Caenorhabditis elegans: one gene and its partners. The protein of the gene in region 3 purifies or fractionates together with the protein of the main gene of each other region. This does not show direct contact. Each region holds a gene or a part of one and is shown on either strand. Other genes may lie near its edges. The genes, in order: ergo-1, rsd-2 and rde-10.

Region 1 (5,570 bases), on a different chromosome or scaffold from region 3:
AACACAGCAATTTTTAGCTCATTTCTAGCCCAAGTGGCGTGCGGCAAATTTTGAAATTTGCCGAGCATGGCCAACTCGGCAAATTCGGCAAATTTCCCATTGTCGTCATACTCGGTAAATCGCAATACTTTTTGGAGCTCAAAAAGTGTTAAAATGGTTAATTTTTCTTTCATTAAGATTCTGATCAAAACCTTTAGTTTTGGGAAAATTAAAAAAAAAAAATTTTTAATTTTGCGGCAATTCGGCAAGTCCACTTTTTTTTGAAATTTGCCGCACATCCTTGTTCTAGACATCCGAATAAAACCTATGCTTTTCGAACGTGGGGGGCCTTCACAATTAGGTGGCTACAATATTACGGGAACATAAAAATTCTGAGAATGCATATTACACAACATATTTGACGCGCAAAATATCTCGCAGCGAAAACTACATTGATCCTTTAAATTACTACTGTAGCGCTTATGTCGATTTACGGGCTCGATTTACGAAGGTAATAACATTTTTTATTTATTGATAGAATGCATACAGTGCATTTTTTTCCCACTTGTACGACTTTAAAGGCGCGCGCATTTATGCAAAATGGTCCCGGCATTGATCTCGCCACGCGCTCAACAAATCAATGGGATGCACGTGGCGAGACCATTGCGCGAAAATGCGCGCGCCTTTAAAGTCGTAAAAGTGGGGAAAAATGCACTGTATTAAAATTAAGCAAATGTCGCTGTCACAATTCAAAAATAAATTAATTTCAAAAAATCGAGCCCATAAATCGACACAAGCGCTACAGTAGTAATTTAAAGGATTACTGTAGTTTTCGCTCCGAGATATTTTGCGCAATACGCATTCTCAGAATTTTGTGTTCATATAATAATTTTAAAAGCAGAGGAGCACATAGCTTGTAAAATTACTACAAATCTGGGTTTTTTGCAGACTTTTGGCGATTTTAAGGATGTATTGGGGTAGGCAAAATCACTTTGCAAGCTTTTTCAAATACTAATGTTTTTTTCAAAGTTTCCAGTGTTTTTTTTGCCTCTATGGAGTCTTGAAATCGCTAAAAGCCTGCAAAAATCCACATTTGGAGCAATTTTTCAAGCCTAGTGAAATAAAGTTGCAAAAAATTAAATGAAAAAAAAATTCAAATCGACTGTTTGCCAGTTCAAAATTCTTCTTTGTGGCTAAAATTTTTGTAGGAACCTAATTCGAAGATCCTCTTTCAAATGAAATAGGGGTTTAATTCGGGGATGTCGTCGGCTGAAAATTGTCAAGAAATCTCTGCAAAAAACTCACGATCAAAGCATGCAGTGATTCCGGCTCTCAGATTTGTGCGAATAGCAATCGAAACTCCAACTCTCGCGTCTGTACCAATTCTCAGTTTATGACACAGTGACACATCCGGAAGCTCGGGTTCGTACGCTTCTTCGCAAATTAGATATGTTAATCTTTTGAACACAGTGTACTTTGGTGGGGCAAGTCTGAAATATTGGAAATTGAAATTGAAAAAAGTGTTTTAATTGGAAATTTTCCTCTAGCAGATTATTAATAAAGTGAGCCTTTTGTTGCACTGAGAATCAATTGCCGATTTGCCGGAAATTTTCGATTCCGGCAATTTTCCGATTTGCCGAAAATTTTCGATTCCGGCAATTTTCCGATATGCCGGAAATTTTCATTTTCGACAAATTGCCGGTTTCCCGGACATTCTCTTTCTCGGCAAATCGGCAATTTGCTGGAATTGAAAATTTCCGGATCATCGGCAAAATACCGGAACTGAAATTCCCGGCAAATCGGCAAAATACCGGAATTGAAATTTCCGGAAAATTGACAATTTGCCAGAATTGAAAATTTCCGGAAAAATCGGCAAATTGCCGGAATTGAAAATTTCCGGAAAATTGGCAAAAACCGGAATTGAAATTTCCGGCAAATTGACAATTTGCTGGAATTGAAAATTTTCCGGAAAAACGGCCAATTGCCGGAATTGAAAATTTCCGGCAAATCGGCAAAATACCGGAATGGAAATTTCCGGCAAATCGGCAAAATACCGGAATTGAAAATTTCCGGAAAAATCGGCAACTTGCCGGAATTTCCGTCAAATCAGCAATTTGCCAGAATTGAAAATTTCCGGAAAAGTAGCAATTTGCCGAAAATAAAAAAATCCGCCAAATCTGCAATTTGCCGGAATTAAAATTTTCGGAAAAAGGGCAAATTGCCAAAAATGAAAATTTTCTGGAAAAAGGGCAAATTGCCGTAATTGAAAATTTCCGGCAAATCGGCCAATGGCCGGAATTGAAAATCTATGGAAAATCGGCAAAAACTAACGGCAAGCGAGCTCTCTGCGTTGCAATCGCATCAATAAGTGTTGACAAAAGCTGCATGGTCTCCTCATCCTCAATATTTCCTCCAAACTTGATTTGTTTCACATATTTCCAAACGAAATTCATTCTCCGGTTATTAGTTCTTCCCTCGGATTGTCTCAGCTTATTCGTCGACCACATCATATTCACATCATTGAAGATGTACTGATTTGGCATGCCAAAAGTGGGCTTATTCTCCTTCAAAATTTCCCAAAATCGTGGCCCACAAAGTTCTCGCTTATTGCTAGACTTTCCATTAATAAATACTTCAATATTGAAGACGTGAAGCGTGATGGGCTCCTGCGGGAGTTGCACCAACGTGTGATTCGTCAAAAGTGTCGTCTTCTGGCCGAGACCCTTATCCTGGACCATTGTTTTCGGCCGGACTGCAAACTCCTGGGCGTTGTGTCTGAGCGACTTTTTCGAAACTGAATGGATCGGCTGGTCGGCACCTCCGACGAGATCTCCAGGATTCGACATACCGGCAGCGGTTCGGCCACCACCGACACGTCCTCCTCCTCCTCCGCGGTTTCCACCGTTTTGGCTGTACATGTTCGCGCCGCCGTGACTTCCACGATTATTTCCATAATTGTCATTTCTCTGATTGGATCCATATCTGGCATCCTGACTGTATTGCTGTTGATATCCTCCACCACCCTGGTTGTATCCACGATAACCTCTACGATCATCGTTGGAGGATCCACGACGATCATGTTGATCGTAGCAGCCACGATCGTTGTTGGAGCCGCGACGATCATCGTAGCGATTGTCCCGACGATCGTCGTTGTATCCGGAGCGACCTTGGTCACTGCTGCGGTAATTTTGCCGATCGTTGTTATGGTAGCGATCGTCACGATCGTTTCGATAGCCACCACCACCGCCGCCGCCGCCGTTGTTATAGCTCATTTTTGTTAGTCTGGAAGTGAGAAGAGATTAGTGGGCCGATAATTGAGAGAAAAAGAGCATCTTAAAGGTGGAGTAGAGTCAAAAAAAATTTTTTGCTTGAAAGGAGGACTAACGGTTCGGACAATTTTCAACGTATAGACCAGGGCTGAGCAGCCGCCCAAAAAAATCGGCGATCGGCGATCGGCGTTCGCCGAAACTTTTTTTTTTCGGCGATCGGCGATCACAAATTGCCAAAAAAAAATCGGCGATCGCCGATTGCCGATCAGTGTGCGTCTAATTTTTTTCAATTTTAAAATCTTAATTTTAAGAGCTCTTTCAAATAATTTTTCATAAAAACAGGAATATTAGGCAACGAAAAGCACTCCTTGATACCTTAAAATTCGAAAAGTAGTGAAAAATAGTCCGAAAATATACCTTTTTCCTTCTTCAGAGGGGTCTATCGTGGACTATAAAATTTCATCGGCGATCGCCGAAAAATCACGAAAATCGCCGATCGCCGATTGCCGCTCACCCCTGATATAGACCCAAAATGAGCTCAAATTAACGAATTTCGTAATGAAACTTCTCAAAAAAATTCTCAAAAATTTTTTATGGCGGTTTAAAATTTCGAAAAAAATTACACTGATTATAGCTAAAATCTCGAATTTTGCCTATTTTTCCGTGTCACATCGGTCCGAAGTTGACTTTTTCGGAATTATCATCCTTTCTTGCATATATTGGTAGTTTATCTCATTTAATTTCGTTGGTTAAGGTACATTTAAAGCCGATAGGTAATCAATTTCGATGATTTTTGGTTACCTATCGGCTTTAAATGTACCTTAATCGACGAAATCAAATGAGATTAATTACCAATATATGTAATAAAGGAAGATAATTCCAAAAAATCCACTTTCGAACAGATGTGACACGGAAAAATGGGAAAAATTCGTGATTTTAGCCAAAATCAGCGTAATTTTTTCCAAAATTTTGAACCGCCATAAAAAATTTTTGAAAAATTTTTGTGCAGTTTCATTACGAAATTCGTTCATTTGAGCCCATTTTGGGTCCATACGTTCAAAATCGTCCGAACCGTTAGTCCTCCTTTAATGGGTTGAGAATTAAGAGAAAAAGAGCATCTGATGAGTTTATGAGAGTGGAATACCTAACTTGCATAAATGAGGAGTAGTGTGAATGAAGATTTTGCTTTTTAAAAAATCCGAAATCGTCTCCAATTCCAACAAAAAACTACGAAAGAAGCATGAAATACAACTAGTAGGATTGAAAATTTTGCCTATATTTGCTTTTTTTCAATTCAAAAAAAAAAACCTTACCAATCAACGATTCGCTATGCCCACTTTTAAACCAATCAGACGGAGTGGGCAGTGTTCGAGCGAATCGCTGATTCTTGTAGATCTTCTTCTTTGTAGATCTACGTAGATCAAGCCGAAATGAGACACTATGACATCACGTGTACACACGTGTGCAAATGTGCTTGAAATGGAGTACAGATACGCCGCAACCTGGTCACTTTAAAGGTGGAGTACCGAAATTTGAAACTTTTCCTTTTTAGACCCAAAATGTTCCAAAACTACCAAATTTCGTAAGGAGACATTCTGAAAATTTTCAAAAAAAATAGTTATAGCCGCTCAAAGTTTTGGAAAAAATGGGCTATTTCTACTAAAATCTCAAATTTTGGCAGCTTTTCCGTATCGCAGCGGTTGGAACTTAATTTTTACTTAATTATCATCTTTTAATACACGTTTTCGTAATTTATTAGGTGTTATTTCGTTGATTGAAATGCTTTTTCGGTCGATGCGGGCACAAATACGATACAAGTTTGTGCCCGCATCGACCAAAAAAACATCTCAATTAACGAAATAACGCCTAATAAATTGAGAAAACGTACATTAAAGGATGACAATCTAATAAAATTCAAGTTCCAGCCGCTGCGACACCGATAAGTTGCCAAAATTTGAGATTTTAGCTATAAATTGACCATTTTTCCCAAAACTTTGAGCGGCCATAACTTTTTTTGAAACATTTTCAGAACGTCTCATTACGAAATTTGGTAGTTTTTTACCATTTTTGGTCTAAAAAAGCAAAGTCTTGGCAAAATCTGAGCGAAAAGTGTTTGAGACGAAGATCGATGTATTGCCTCAATTGCGCGGGAAATGTAACCTTCGAATCAAGATATTGAATCTCGAAGTATAGAATTTCTCTCTATCTAGGTTTCGAAGGTTTTGGAAGAAATTCCTCGTAAAGGCGAAACTAGAACACTTGCAAAACCATGGTGGACGAAGAAATCAGACGAAGAAAACAAAAAGTCGACAGCTGAATGAT
Region 2 (5,336 bases), on a different chromosome or scaffold from region 3:
ATTTTTTTGAATTTTTTCATTGAGATATTCGGAATCTGGGGAAAATTTGAAGTAATTTAAAAATATATTTCTCAGATTTCGGTACTGAAACTTTAATAGAATTTTTCAAGTTTTTTGTGCCAAACAGTGGAGAAATTGGGTGAAAATTAATTTTCGATAGCTACAATTTAGAAAAAGTTGGCAAAATTCTAGATTTTAATTAGAATTTATCCCTATTTCGAGTAAGAATGCGAATTTAAGTTTTTTTGTGAGGGTGATTTTCAGCCAAATTTAGCCGTTTTTTCAGGAGATTTCGCTCCACCAATTTCGATAAAAATACACACATTGCCAACTCCACTCTATACGTGACACCTCGTTCCATCGATTCTGCTGCAACATTAACTTTTCCAAATGTATCAGCAAATGCAACACTCTGAGGATAAGTAATGTGAGTTTCAATCGATGAACATGCCGCTTTTGCAGAGATCTGAAAATATACCATTTTATATTGCTGAATATCGAAAAAAAAGAAGAAAGCTAACCAATAATTCGCCATTTTCAATTCTCGTCATCTCACATTCTCTGTATTCTATAGCATCCGGCCGGGGATCAGGGAAATATGTATCATTTTCGTAGTTGTACTCGGTGAAAAGTATGAGTTGACCGGCTTTTGCTCTGAAAATTTGGAAATTAAAACTGAGGAACAGTTCAAAACGGTATTTTGAGTGGTAAAAACCTAAAATTCGAGGTTTTCGTGTGAAAATTCGAGAAAAATCATGGGAAATTTGATAATTTTGCTCGAAAATGCTATTTTTTACATCAAATAACGCAAAAATTGGATTTCCTGGACTAAATAAACGAAAAATTCCGATTTTTCTGAAATACGCTCGAAAAATTGCTCTTTTCCAATTTAAAACATTTTTTCTGAGATCTTTTACAAAAAAATCCCGTTTTCAGCAATTTCTCACCTAAAAACTTGATTTTTTTGACGGAAAATTTAGAAATAGCCGAATATTTGAATTTAAAACCTATTTTTCTGTGAAAAAGTCTTAAAAAGCGCAAATTTCACAGAAAAATGCTTTAAAATTGGAGAAAGCTCACGAACAGCTCAAAACCACTTTTTAAGTGGTAAAAAAGAAAAAACCCCGGAAAAATCGGCGGAAACTGAGTAATTTTGCTCGAAATTGTAATTTTTAACTGAAAATCCCGATTTTTCAGTAAAAATTGCTCGTTTTCAATTTAAAACGCTCTTTTTCCGAGATTTTTCCCTTGAGACTCAAATTTTCCCGATTTCTCATGAAAAAACTTGATTTTTTAGGGAAAATTAAGAGATAGCAGAATATTTAAATTCAAAACCATTTTCTCTGTGAAAACGTCATATAAAAAACGCAAACTTCACAGAAAAATGCTTCAAAATTGGCAATTTTGGCAAAATTTCGCCAAAAAACCCCGGATATTCGAGTTTTCCAGTTTTTTACTGTAAAAAATGATTTAAAACACGATTTTTCGATTAGAAATACATAAAATCTTACGGAGAGCCGACTGGAAGATGAACTTTTATTGAAGATTCCAATTGTTCAGAATAACAGATCGCAGAATTTGTCTCCTCGTTGTCAAATAGAATAATTGCGATCACTTGTGAATCGCTCATCTTTTTCGGTGATAACCTGTTAATTTCCATATTTTAAAGCGAATCTTGAGGCACTTTTCGCGAGAAAAACTGAAGTTTATGTGTGTGTGTGAAGGGGATGCGCGTGGAAAATTCAAGGCTGTGGTCGTCTGCGTCTCGAAAAAAAGAAAAATATAAATATTTTAACTCTAAATACGAAATATTCCGCTTTTTGCGCCGAAAAACGCCTTCAAAACCAAATTTTTTTGAAAATACTCGATTTTTCATCAAATTTGACGAGTTTAGGATGGTAAAATCAGTAATATACAGCATTTTTTGTTGAAAAATCAGATTTCTCATTTGAAAAATGCGTTTAAAATATTAAAAAAACATCTTTCAAGATGAGAACAATCTGAAAAGGCAAAAAAAACAAAAACAAATCATCGTGTGCAAACACTGTGACGCAAAGTCACGGACAACTACTGTAGCCCACATGAAATTTTTATTAACATTTTCAGGTCTAGAATTCAGATAAATTCACGAAAGTCTATCAAAATTACCTTAATTCTTCAAGTCTGTTTTGCTCGAAAATTTCCAGTTTCATCATGGTGTCAGATGTGTCTTTGTTTGCCAAAAATTTGAGTCGCCCGGTCACTTTGAAAAGTGGATTTCCGCTTTCTTGGTAGTTTAGGTCATTTCTGCAATTAATGATCGACTTTTTGGATGATAACCCCTGAAAACGTACACATAAATGAACGCTTTATAAACTCCTGGTCCGGTAGGTGGAGAATCCGAACAATCAACGATTCCATACCAATCCGCGTACCCCAGATCTCTGTTATAGGTGAGATAGTTCGGATTGTCACCGAAAGCTATCCAGCTCTTGTAATATACGACCTGTTCATTTGTATGAGTGGGTAGGATTACACAATCTGCCGGTTCAGGTTCTTTGATGGTTGAGGTGCTGGCATCAATTTTCATTACCCCATCTTCTGTCATCACCTCATTTTCGATGAAGGTCAGGAAAAAACCTGGCCGGGGCCTGAAAAATGATAAAAGTGCACGGCCATGTGTCGATTTACGCTGTATGTGTACTCCTCGTGGAGAACTGTTAATTTTTGCAGTAAAATTCTTGATTGTAGATCATTTCCGATAAATTGTTTTAAATTTCAGATTTAAATTGCTGATTAATATTTTATTTATCTTTTTTTTTCAATTTAAAGTGTAAGAAAAACGCGAAAAAATGGAGTACACAACGGTTCATCAATAGAGCGCGTTTAACAACCTAAAATAATTAAAATTTAAATTTTTCCCAGAAGTGGGCAACAACTTGCCTACGTTTACGAAATAAATTAATAATTTTAAAAAGTGTTTAATTTAAAAAAAATTCAAACTCGACAATTTCCACTCAAAATCTGTAAAACCTTCTCCTCGAGGAGAACACTCGCTGCGTAAATCGACACATGGCCGTGTTAGAGTTTTTTCACGGCCATTCTTCTATCTCCACTCATAAAGGTGTGTTCAACTTACTCCAATTGTTGCTGCCCTTCGATGCGAGCCCAAAAGAACTCGTGGCTCTCCCTTTTAAAACAGCCAAAGACGTCATTTTCTTGATCATGGTGCAGGATGAGTACTCGGCAGGAGGACATTATGCTGAGATATTACAAAAAATTTGAAAAAATAGCGTTAGAATGACGGGGGGACGAGAGATTCAAGCAAGTGGTGTCAGACTGTCTCGTTACAGTTTCATCTACAAAAAATGTGGGAATATTTTTCCAGAAAAGTTGTGACGTCAGCACGTTCTCATCCATGCGAAATCAGATGAGACGTCTGCGTCTCACCTCCCGCATTTTTTGAAGATCAAACCGAAATAAGACATTCTGACTGTGTGCAAAGAAAAAACAAAAAAAAACAAAAAAAAAAGATCAAAGTGTGAGAAACAGGTTACCGGCGAGAAAAACAAATTTTTAGAAATAAAAAACAACACAATTTTTGAACCCGAAACCTTCCACAAAATGCCTGCCTACATGCCTACTGGTAAACTAAAAGAAACACCGGAAATCAGGCAAAAGTGTAACCACGTATGCAAGCAGGCGTGAGGTATGGGATATTTTTGTATTTTTCTTTTTTGCGTAAGGTGAGTAGGCAGGCAGGTAGGCGTACCGGTAGGCGTGAGGTAGGCACGTAGACCTACATTCAGGCATGGTGTAGGCATCAGAACTTGCCTGTCTACCATAGAACAACCTATAAATTAGAAAAAAAAATAGGTCGCGTAGAATGTTTTTTTTTTCAAATTTTCGTAATACCTCAGACACCTGTCCAGTTATGAAAGATTATTATCTGATCTAAATATTAATTTTTGAGGCGTTAAGAAGTGCCAAACTTTCTACGAAAAAACGAAAAAAAAACCAAAAAAAAAAGCAACTTTCAAATCGAATAAAAGAGAGAGAAAAGAGAGAGAATAGAGAAATAGACAACTGGTCGTTTGCTCTGTTGTCATGATTTACGACAGATGACCTTAGGCCTGAACCTGATAATGTAATTTTTTATTGCGCTCGTTACAAGTTACCGAGCACTAAAATGGCAAAAACACCATAAATACAAAAAAATAAAGAAATCCAATACATTTTTTTTGAAATACTAATCTTATATCACACTAGGCTAATTGATCGGTTCCTCTACGATAGACACATTCTCATACCTACGTAGCCACACCACGCCTGCCTACAGTTTGTACCATGTTTTTTATAGCTTGACAGTAGGCATGTAGGCATGAAGTAGGCAGGAATTTTCTTGCCTACTTGGAAGGCTTGTTGCCACAAGTTCTGATTGAAGAAGTTACTGTAGCCAAAAAAGAGTTTTTTTTAAATCTATCTATAACTTTTAACATGAACAAACATAAATCGGCAATTTTAATTTTGAAAAAAATCGTCCAAAAACTCTTAAATCTTTAGAATTTTAAATCAACAGCTAAACGAGGGTTTTCCGGTCATTCTTCCATTATCAAAGAGAGTTTGGAATCCTATTAAAGTTACTTCTATAGGTTACAGCCTATTTTCGGGAAAATTACCAAATTTAATATTCAGCTGAATATTCAGCAATATTCAGCTGAAATGAATTCAGCAAGTAGCAAAACCTAACTTTTTGGAAACGTTGGAAATCGAATGAAAATAGATAATATTCCAAAAAATGGAGACACGGAAAAGAAGAGGAAATGGAAATAATCACGGGCAGGAAATGAATAATGCTGCAAGTCAAAAGACGGTGAGAGACGCAGAGAAATAGGTGTCCTCCCAGGAGGAGGAGGAGTTTGATATGTAATTTTTTAGGCCAAGCAATAAGAGGGGTATAGTGCAATGTTTTTCCAGTTGCTCACGGTACCTTCAAGCTGTGACCGCACGTGGTGTTAGAGTGTCTCACTTCGGCTTGATCTACGTAGATCTAAAAAAATGCGGGTGAAGAGACGCAGAGTTCTCAACTGATTTCGCAACAGCCTGACACCAAACGACGGGCAAACTGTTTTTGTTTTTTCACAAGTTTAAGCTAAAAATAAAAGTAATCTATATTCGAAACGACAAGAAACCCGGTAGATGTCGGTCCATGTTCTCACTTGTCACAAAATTCCCTAAAACTGTGGAATTTGTGCAACAGTTTTTTTCGTCAACTATAGTCTCGAAATTTTTGGAATTTTGAATTTTTTGGCTATTCCCGAATTTCAAAATTTTCGGCAATTAGGCAAAATAGTTCC
Region 3 (7,754 bases):
TCACATTTTCCAACAATTCACTTTTAAAAATTCCGAGTCTATATAGGAGGCGAAAACCGAGTCTAAATAGAAGCAAAACGCACTTATATTTAGAAAAGAGTAGAACTATTTAGAAGAAGAAGGTATTTCTAATTAGAAGAAGTAGACATATTTAGAAGAAAAATGCGCTTATATTTAGAAAAGAGTAGACCTATTTAGAACAAAAAGGTACTTCTAATTAGAAGAAGTAGACCTATTTAGTTAAAAAGCTCTGCTATTTAGATGAAAAAGCATTTCTAATTATGTCGTGTTAGGAGCTAGCGCCATTTCTAAATATATCTGCTTTTTTCTTCTAAATAGAAGCGAAAACGTTTATCTGAGATGGAGACATTCTCAAGACATCGCGATATACGTTGTGTAACGATCAAGTAGCAGAACCAGGACATGATGAATGGTGTTGAAACGACTTCCGACTAATTGTAATTCTTGATATATTTGAGGCCCCTTAACTTTATCTGCATAGGTAAAATGAACATATTTTATAACGTAACATCATTAGATAACAGTAGATTTTAATGCAATTTCCTTGTAAGATGAACCATATTGTTCTCTTCTAACCTCATATCAGAATTTAAATTGAAGTTTTGGTTTTTCAGTAACTAGCATGTCTGCAAAACGTTTACAATTAAAGTATAGAACGAACAAAATTCACTTTTGTTTGAAAATATGTCTCAAAGCAATAATATGTTCGCAAGAAATTGATTAATACATCTTATGTAGACACTTTGGCAGTTTCAGAATACTCTTTTCACAATCCGAGCGCGCCTGTTCCGCACTCCAGTCACGCCCTATCCTCGCGCCAGGCGCATTTCACCTCTTTTCGCGCGCCAGTCGCACCCCCTTCGCGCCCCAGGAGGAGCCAACTACCGAGTAGCTCTTGTGTCGAAAACCGAGCCCGTAAATCGACACTACAGTAGTAATTTAAATAATGACTATAGTTTTGCGCTATGAGATATTTTGCGCGTCAAATATGTTGCGCAGTACGCAGTCTCAGCAGTTTGTGTTGGCGTAATAATACTTTCAACGAAATTCCAGTTCCTCGAGAAAAGCAAGACGACCCACGCACTCGGCCGTCCTGGAACTACATCCGAAGTAGCTGAAGCTATCCTATTCCTGTCCTCTGAGAAGAGCTCATTCACTACTGGACAACTGTTGAAGGTTGATGGTGGTCGAGGAATTATGCATCCGAGATAAAGAATATATGATTTATTGTTTTGAAAATTGAGAATGAAGTAAATTTGTACCAAGCAGACAGACAGAGTATATCATGTATAATACTATTAGTACAATTAGGATTTTAGAATGCTTATATTTAATACCATGAAATGAATGTGTGAGGGGTTTCCGTTTAGAAGTCGTCGAACTTGATTCTGAAATAATATAAAAACTATTAAAAATTTTTTATTATATACACTTACATCTTATATTTCTGTCCCGGTTTCACCGAATCCAGAATATTGAAATATTGATCCGCTTCGTTTCGATTCATGATATGACTGATTATTGGGGTTTCATAATCTTCAGATGGATCTTCGGATGGAAACGCGGAAAAACTGAAAATTAAAAAAAATTTATTTTCTTTAATTTACGACGAACCTTTTGCGTTCAGAATAAGCATTCGGACTATTTTGTGACGGGCGTGGAGCTCGCTGTGGCGACAATCGCCTTGGAGCCGGAACCACAACAGATTCTTGTTGAACATTTGGAGCAACATCTCTTGATCTTGCACTGGGATGCTCTGGCTCACGAACAGATGATGAGCTGATGAAGTGATCGTCTGAAATTAAAAATAAAAAAAAAATTAATTTTCAAACTTTCAAAATTCAGAATTTTCGAGAAAAATTCTTACTGTAAGAATAAGGAACATCAAGCTGTTCATTGTAGTTTTCCTCATCAGAATCTTCTTCGAAATCCAGTGGTTCAGATGCGAATTCGTATTGATCATGATTAGATGGACCTTCTTGATGGACGTCATATTGTTCATCGGTATCTCTCTGCCTGGCGGCGTAGACTTCGGCGTCATTACGGGATATTGTTCTTGCCAAGATTCTGGAAAAATATCTATAGACGCTCATTTAATTTTCGAAATTTCTGGGAACTGCAGAGAATGTTTTGTTTTTTCTGTGAATTTTAATTTTACTATTTTTGAAAAAAAAAACGAAAAATCGAAAAAATTTCGTAGTTCGATTTTTTGATTTTCCCTCAAAAACATCGAAAAATGGAAAAACATAAATTTTTTCGATTTTTGAAAAATCGACTTCTGGTCATTTTGGTATTTTTTCTTCTTTTTAGAATAAAATTTTATGTTTTTTCTCATCAATTTAGACCAAATTAAATTTTTAAAAAATCATAATTTATGGTTAATTTTTCTGGATTTAAAAAAAAAAGGTTTTTCGGAAAAAATTTAAAATCGAAAATTTTCTTTTTCGAAAACATTTCTTCTTTTTAGAATAAATTTTTATGTTTTTTCTCATGATTTTTTTTTTAAAAATCGAAAATCAAAAAAATTTTGATTTTTCTATTTTTGAAAAAAAAAACGAAAAATCAAAAATTTCTGTTTTCGATTTCCAATTTTTCGATTTTCCCTCAAAAATATCGAAAAATCGGAAAAATAAAAAAACGAAAATTTTAGAAAAAACCGACTTTTGGTCATTATGGTTTTTTTTCTTATTTTTAGAATACATTTTTTGTATGTTTTTTTCTCACCAATTTAGACGAAATTAGATTCAAAAAAATCATCTTTTATGGTTAATTTTCAGATTTTTTCTCCGATTTTCCGGATAATCGAAAAATCGAAAATTTTCGATTTTTTTTGAAATCGAGATATCGAAAATTTTTAGTTTTTTCGATTTGTCAAAAATTAGCTTATAATTTTTGGTATTTTCTTCTTTTTAGAATAAATTTTTATGTTTTTTTCTGATCAATTTAAACTTTTTTATGGTTAATTTTCTGAACTTATTTTTTACATTTTTGTATTTTCGGATAATCGAAAAATCGAAAATTTTCGTTTTTCCGTACGTTTGAGGCAAACTTGTGTCACTCCCGTCTTGAATGCAAATCTCATGAACTGGCGGCGAAATCACGAATCCTTGAAGCCGGTTCCCCTTTATTACAGTGAAAAAATTGTCTCTGTAAAATGTGTTTTATCTTGAAAATCACTGCAAAAAATGTTACAATAGTCTTGCATTATGAGCCTTGACGCAATTGTATTTCGTAGGCGATGGTTTATTCTCATGAAAACTGCAGAATAGGTTCAATTCAGTTCTGGGAATGAGAAAATGATATTGAAATTGATTACAAATATCAACATCTCTCCAGACACGGGGGACATCCGTCGGCGCTTTTTCGAGTATTACACTTGTAAAATCCTGAATGCTCAGAATACTAGGAATGATGACTTCTTGGAAGAATGTGATGGCATTGATTCCAGTGTAAGTGGCCAGAGTCTTGATTCCATAATATACAAAATTGAATTGAGCTCGATCGCATAGAATCGGAGATTTCGGATGCTGTTTTAAAAGGTGTTGAAGCCACTCGAAAACTTCATATGGTTCACAGCCATCGGCGGGTCCATTGGGCGAAATTCCCAGTTCGTCGGCTGAAAATTTTAAGCTACTGACCATTTATAGCATTTTTTTGGCAATTTTTCGGCAACATTCGATAAGTTTCGACAACTTTCGACACTATTGCAAAATTTTGACAATTTTTGAGAAGTTTCAAACAACTTTCCACAACTTTTCGAAAATTGTAGAAACTTTCGCCAACTTTCGGCAATTTATGACAACTTTCGGGAAATTTTACAAAGTTTTGGCAACATTCCCCAATTTCTCTTCAATTTTCAGCAAAATTTATAAATTTTGGCAATTTTTGTAAAGTTTCGCCAATTTTCGACAACTATTGCAAAATTTTGGCATTTTTTGAGGAGTTTCAAACAACTTTCCAAAATTTCTGGAAACTCTAGCCAACTTCTGCAAAGGTTTTGACAAAATTCGGTAAGTTTCGCCAATTTTCATTAATACTTTCGCTATTTTTGCAAAGTTTTAGCACCATTGTCCCATTCTCCAATTTTTAAAACAATTTTCAGCAACTTTTATAAATTTTTGCGAACTTTTTGAAAATATTCGGCAATTTTTGACAACTTTCAGTAACTTTCGTCAACTATTGCAAAATTCTGGTAATTTTAGCCAAATTTCGGCAATTTTTGTGAAGTTTTGCCAATTTTCATTTAATTTTCGGCAACTTTTGCTTATTATCGGCAATTTTTGCAAAGTTTTTGGCACCATTCTTCAATTTTTAAAACAATCTTCTGCAACTTTTCGAATTTTTTGCTACCCATTGCTTTTCTAGACAATTCCTCGTGCCCAATGTCATCTGCATCTGGATAAAACCAAGCTGCATCGAATTTGACGAATCTCGATTCATTCTGAATGATTCCATTCTTAAGATTGAATGTTGTAACGGATATCTCTGCAGGATACGATGAAAGCTTATTGATTGATGGTTTGAAGGCGTAGGCAACCGGAAATACTGAAACAATCTGCATTGTGTAGTCCTCGCAAAGCAACGGATTTCCAGGATCATCAGAACGCTGAGCAATGTATGAAGTCATTATTCGTTTCGCCTTTTTGCGATTTGCAAGACAAAACGCGTCGAGATCTTCGGTGATGTGAAGAACGTGATTTATATCTCTTGGCAACGCTATAACACTTGGAGTTTGGCTCAGTGTCTCCAAATGTGCACGTCGGAGCTGTTGGAACTCATCTGGATTTCGGTGGCGCATCTCACGGTTTCTCTGTGCTCTCTGGTGCTTTGTTTTCTGAAAAAAAAAACATAGTTTTTCTTTAAAGGTGGACTACGCTCAGTGGGGAAATTGCTTTAAAACACGCCTATGGTCCCACAATAACCGAATATCATGATTAAAAAATTCAAAAAAATTTTCTAGATTTTATATGATTTTTTGAAAATTGGAAAAATCACAGTTTTCACCTAATTATTTTTGAATTTCCGCCAATTGGATTTTTTCGGTGGAGCGTGCTTGCATTATTTTTTTTTATTAATTTTATTTATTTTCGTTATTTGACTGATTTTCTTCATTTTCTATGTTTTTTCTTCGGAAAATGAAAGAAATAAACAAGAAAATGCGAAATGTTTGTTAAAAATTAACTGAAAATGCGTAAAACTGTGATATTCTGAGTTCTGACGACGAAGAGCCTGAAATTAGAATATTTGACAGATTTAGGAAGTTTCAGTTAATTTTTAGTGATCATTCTTAATTTTTCTTGTTTATTTCTTTCATTTTCCGAAGAAAAAACATAGAAAATGAAGAAAATCAGTGAAATAACGAGAATAAATAAAATTAATTAATGAAAATAATGCAAGCACGCTCCACCGAACAAATCCAATTGGCGGAAATTCAAAAATAATTAGGTGAAAACTGTGATTTTTCCAATTTTCAAAAAATCATATAAAATCTAGAACATTTTTTTGAATTTTTTTATCATGATATTCGGTCATTGTGGGACCATAGGCGTGTTTTAAAGCAATTTCCCCACAGGGTGTAGTAAAATTTTCAATAAAAACCTACAATTACAAGCCCCCGATTTCCGTTGTGCTCGGCAACTTCTCGCTCGAATTTTTGCTTCAAATCAGGGCACATTCCCTGAAATCCGACATATTAGGCTTGAAAATAATAATTTTTCTTTATTTTTTTTACGTGATAATATCTTGTCATAATATCCTTGTCTGCCTGATCATTCTGATTGTATCGGTGGCCTTGCTCGGTCAGAAATCTAAACATCAAAATATCAAAAATCACATTTTCGCAAAATATATTCAGAAATTTTCCTACTTTTTCTGTCCTATCTGGCGTAGGAATAGCATGTAGACACTTTTCTTGCCGTCGACATGTTTTGCAACTGAAATCGGATTTCCGTTCTGGCGCACCGCATCTCCGGAGGTGCCGGCATTATTGGCTCGAATGCCCTCTCTGAAGAGATTTTTTAAAATTAATTGGGACAATATTTAAGGCAAACCTCTGATAATCTCTAAAATTAGATCTGTGATTTGACATATTCATAAAAATCAATTTTAGACGCTGGCAAAAGTCCGCAAAAGTCCTTGAAAATGTGCGCACCACTTGCAAAAATGCCGTGCCAGGGTTGCAATTATCGACTCCGCCCACTATTTCTTTTCGAATATTGAACGTGTTTTTTTCGGATTTTCAACACTTTTTTCTTATTATTTTTCGAAATTTGTGTTTTTTGTGTTTTTTAAATCATTTTTCATATTTTCAGACATTTTAAAATGGAAGAAAACTCGGCAGACATCGAAAACAGGCCGGTGGCGGCATTTCGGCCGGCAGTGTCAGTGCCAATGCCAGTTCTTCCGCAAGATGGAGAGGTAAATACTTTAGATTCGTTCAAATTAATGAAACTTTAAAACAAATTTTATTTTCAGGTGTTCGTAGGACCTGGAGGTAAGAAAGACGCTCAAAAAATTGGCCTTGGTTTATCGAAATTGAGTTCAAAGCGGAAGGATGATATTCAGATGGCGAAAAAGTATGCGATGGACATTTCAATTAAGCAGATTCTTCTTCGTCAGCAGAAACAGCAACAGGAGAATGTTAGTTTTATTTTTAAAAAGTAGAAATTATCGTAATAATCAATAAAATTTCAGCAACAACGGCAGCAAATGTACTCACAAGCTTTATCGATTATGTCCAGAATCTATGTTGGCTCAATCTCATTTGAAATCCGCGAAGATATGCTTCGCAGGGCTTTTGACCCATTTGGACCCATTAAATCTATTAATATGAGCTGGGATCCAGCTACTGGGGTGAGTTTTTAAAAAAGTCTTATTTTATTTTAAAATTCCGAAAGAATTAAGCTAATTTTATCTAAGGTCCTTTATTTTACCAGAAGTTTCCGTGTCAGAGCAGCTGGAAATTATTTTTCATTCGATTTTCATCTTTTATTGCAGATTTTGATAGTTTATCTCAATTTCTATCCAATTTTTGGTCATTTTTTGTCATCTATTGGCTTTAAATTTACTTAAATGAACAACTTAAATAAAAATATGCAATAAAAAAAATGATAATCGAATAAAAATTAATTTCCAAAAGCTGTGACACTTTTTTTTCAAATATTTGATGTTTTAAACGGAAGTTTTATTACGAATTGAGCATATTTTTAGTCTTAAATTAATAAATATTTCATTTTCAGCACCACAAAACGTTCGCATTTGTTGAATACGAAGTCCCAGAAGCCGCACTTCTTGCTCAAGAATCGATGAATGGTCAGATGCTCGGTGGACGTAATCTTAAAGTTAATTCGATGATGTTCCAGGAGATGAGATTGCCACAAAATATGCCACAGGCTCAGCCGATTATTGATATGGTTCAGAAGGATGCGAAGAAATATTTCAGGTAAAATGAGAAATTACTAGTTTAATTATTTTATTTAAAGTCATTTAAAAAATTTGGTGCTTTAAATGACAGAAAAAAGTAGAGACCGAATATAACTGGTTAAAAAAGTTTCTAAATTTTTTATTATTTTTTCAATTTTCAAAAATCAAAGAAACGTCCGAATTAAATTTGAATTCCCGCGCAAAGTTATTTTCGATATTTTGGCGTTTTCGGGCTAAAAACATCGGTTTACTTGGTTTGTCAGTTTTTCAGATTTTTCAGACACTTATCCGTGAATAAAATTCGATTACCC

What was found.
Region 1: the proteins of rde-10 (region 3) and ergo-1 purify together in Caenorhabditis elegans (affinity purification with mass spectrometry, with the first as the bait; 2 studies listed by BioGRID). This does not show direct contact.
Region 2: the proteins of rde-10 (region 3) and rsd-2 purify together in Caenorhabditis elegans (affinity purification with mass spectrometry, with the first as the bait; 2 studies listed by BioGRID). This does not show direct contact.

Annotation. Positions count from the first base shown.
Region 1 is NC_003283.11:1,006,494-1,012,063, reverse strand, and holds the start of ergo-1 (Piwi-like protein ergo-1), read right to left. Parts: upstream 3,262-5,570; 5' UTR 3,252-3,261; coding exon 2,311-3,251; intron 1,470-2,310; coding exon 1,285-1,469; intron 1-1,284. UniProt on the Caenorhabditis elegans protein: Argonaute protein required for gene silencing in the endogenous RNA interference (RNAi) pathway.
Region 2 is NC_003282.8:13,537,029-13,542,364, forward strand, and holds the start of rsd-2 (RSD-2 domain-containing protein), read right to left. Parts: upstream 3,238-5,336; coding exon 3,119-3,237; intron 2,631-3,118; coding exon 2,334-2,630; intron 2,287-2,333; coding exon 2,149-2,286; intron 1,647-2,148; coding exon 1,512-1,646; intron 655-1,511; coding exon 522-654; intron 467-521; coding exon 324-466; intron 1-323.
Region 3 is NC_003279.8:3,545,483-3,553,236, reverse strand, and holds rde-10 (RNA interference defective protein 10), read right to left. Parts: upstream 6,167-7,754; 5' UTR 6,110-6,166; coding exon 6,072-6,109; intron 6,026-6,071; coding exon 5,888-6,025; intron 5,829-5,887; coding exon 5,753-5,828; intron 5,699-5,752; coding exon 5,624-5,698; intron 4,856-5,623; coding exon 4,372-4,855; intron 3,638-4,371; coding exon 3,214-3,637; intron 3,169-3,213; coding exon 3,058-3,168; intron 2,089-3,057; coding exon 1,889-2,088; intron 1,817-1,888; coding exon 1,636-1,816; intron 1,593-1,635; coding exon 1,458-1,592; intron 1,410-1,457; coding exon 1,388-1,409; 3' UTR 1,234-1,387; downstream 1-1,233. Other genes in the region: Y47G6A.21 (DeHydrogenases, Short chain), read left to right, coding at 1,075-1,233; Poly(U)-binding-splicing factor rnp-6, read left to right, coding at 6,343-6,438, 6,496-6,660, 6,715-6,873, 7,260-7,462. UniProt on the Caenorhabditis elegans protein: In complex with rde-11, required in the endogenous and exogenous siRNA pathway for biogenesis and accumulation of secondary small interfering RNA (siRNA) intermediates, such as 22G-siRNAs derived from ergo-1 targets.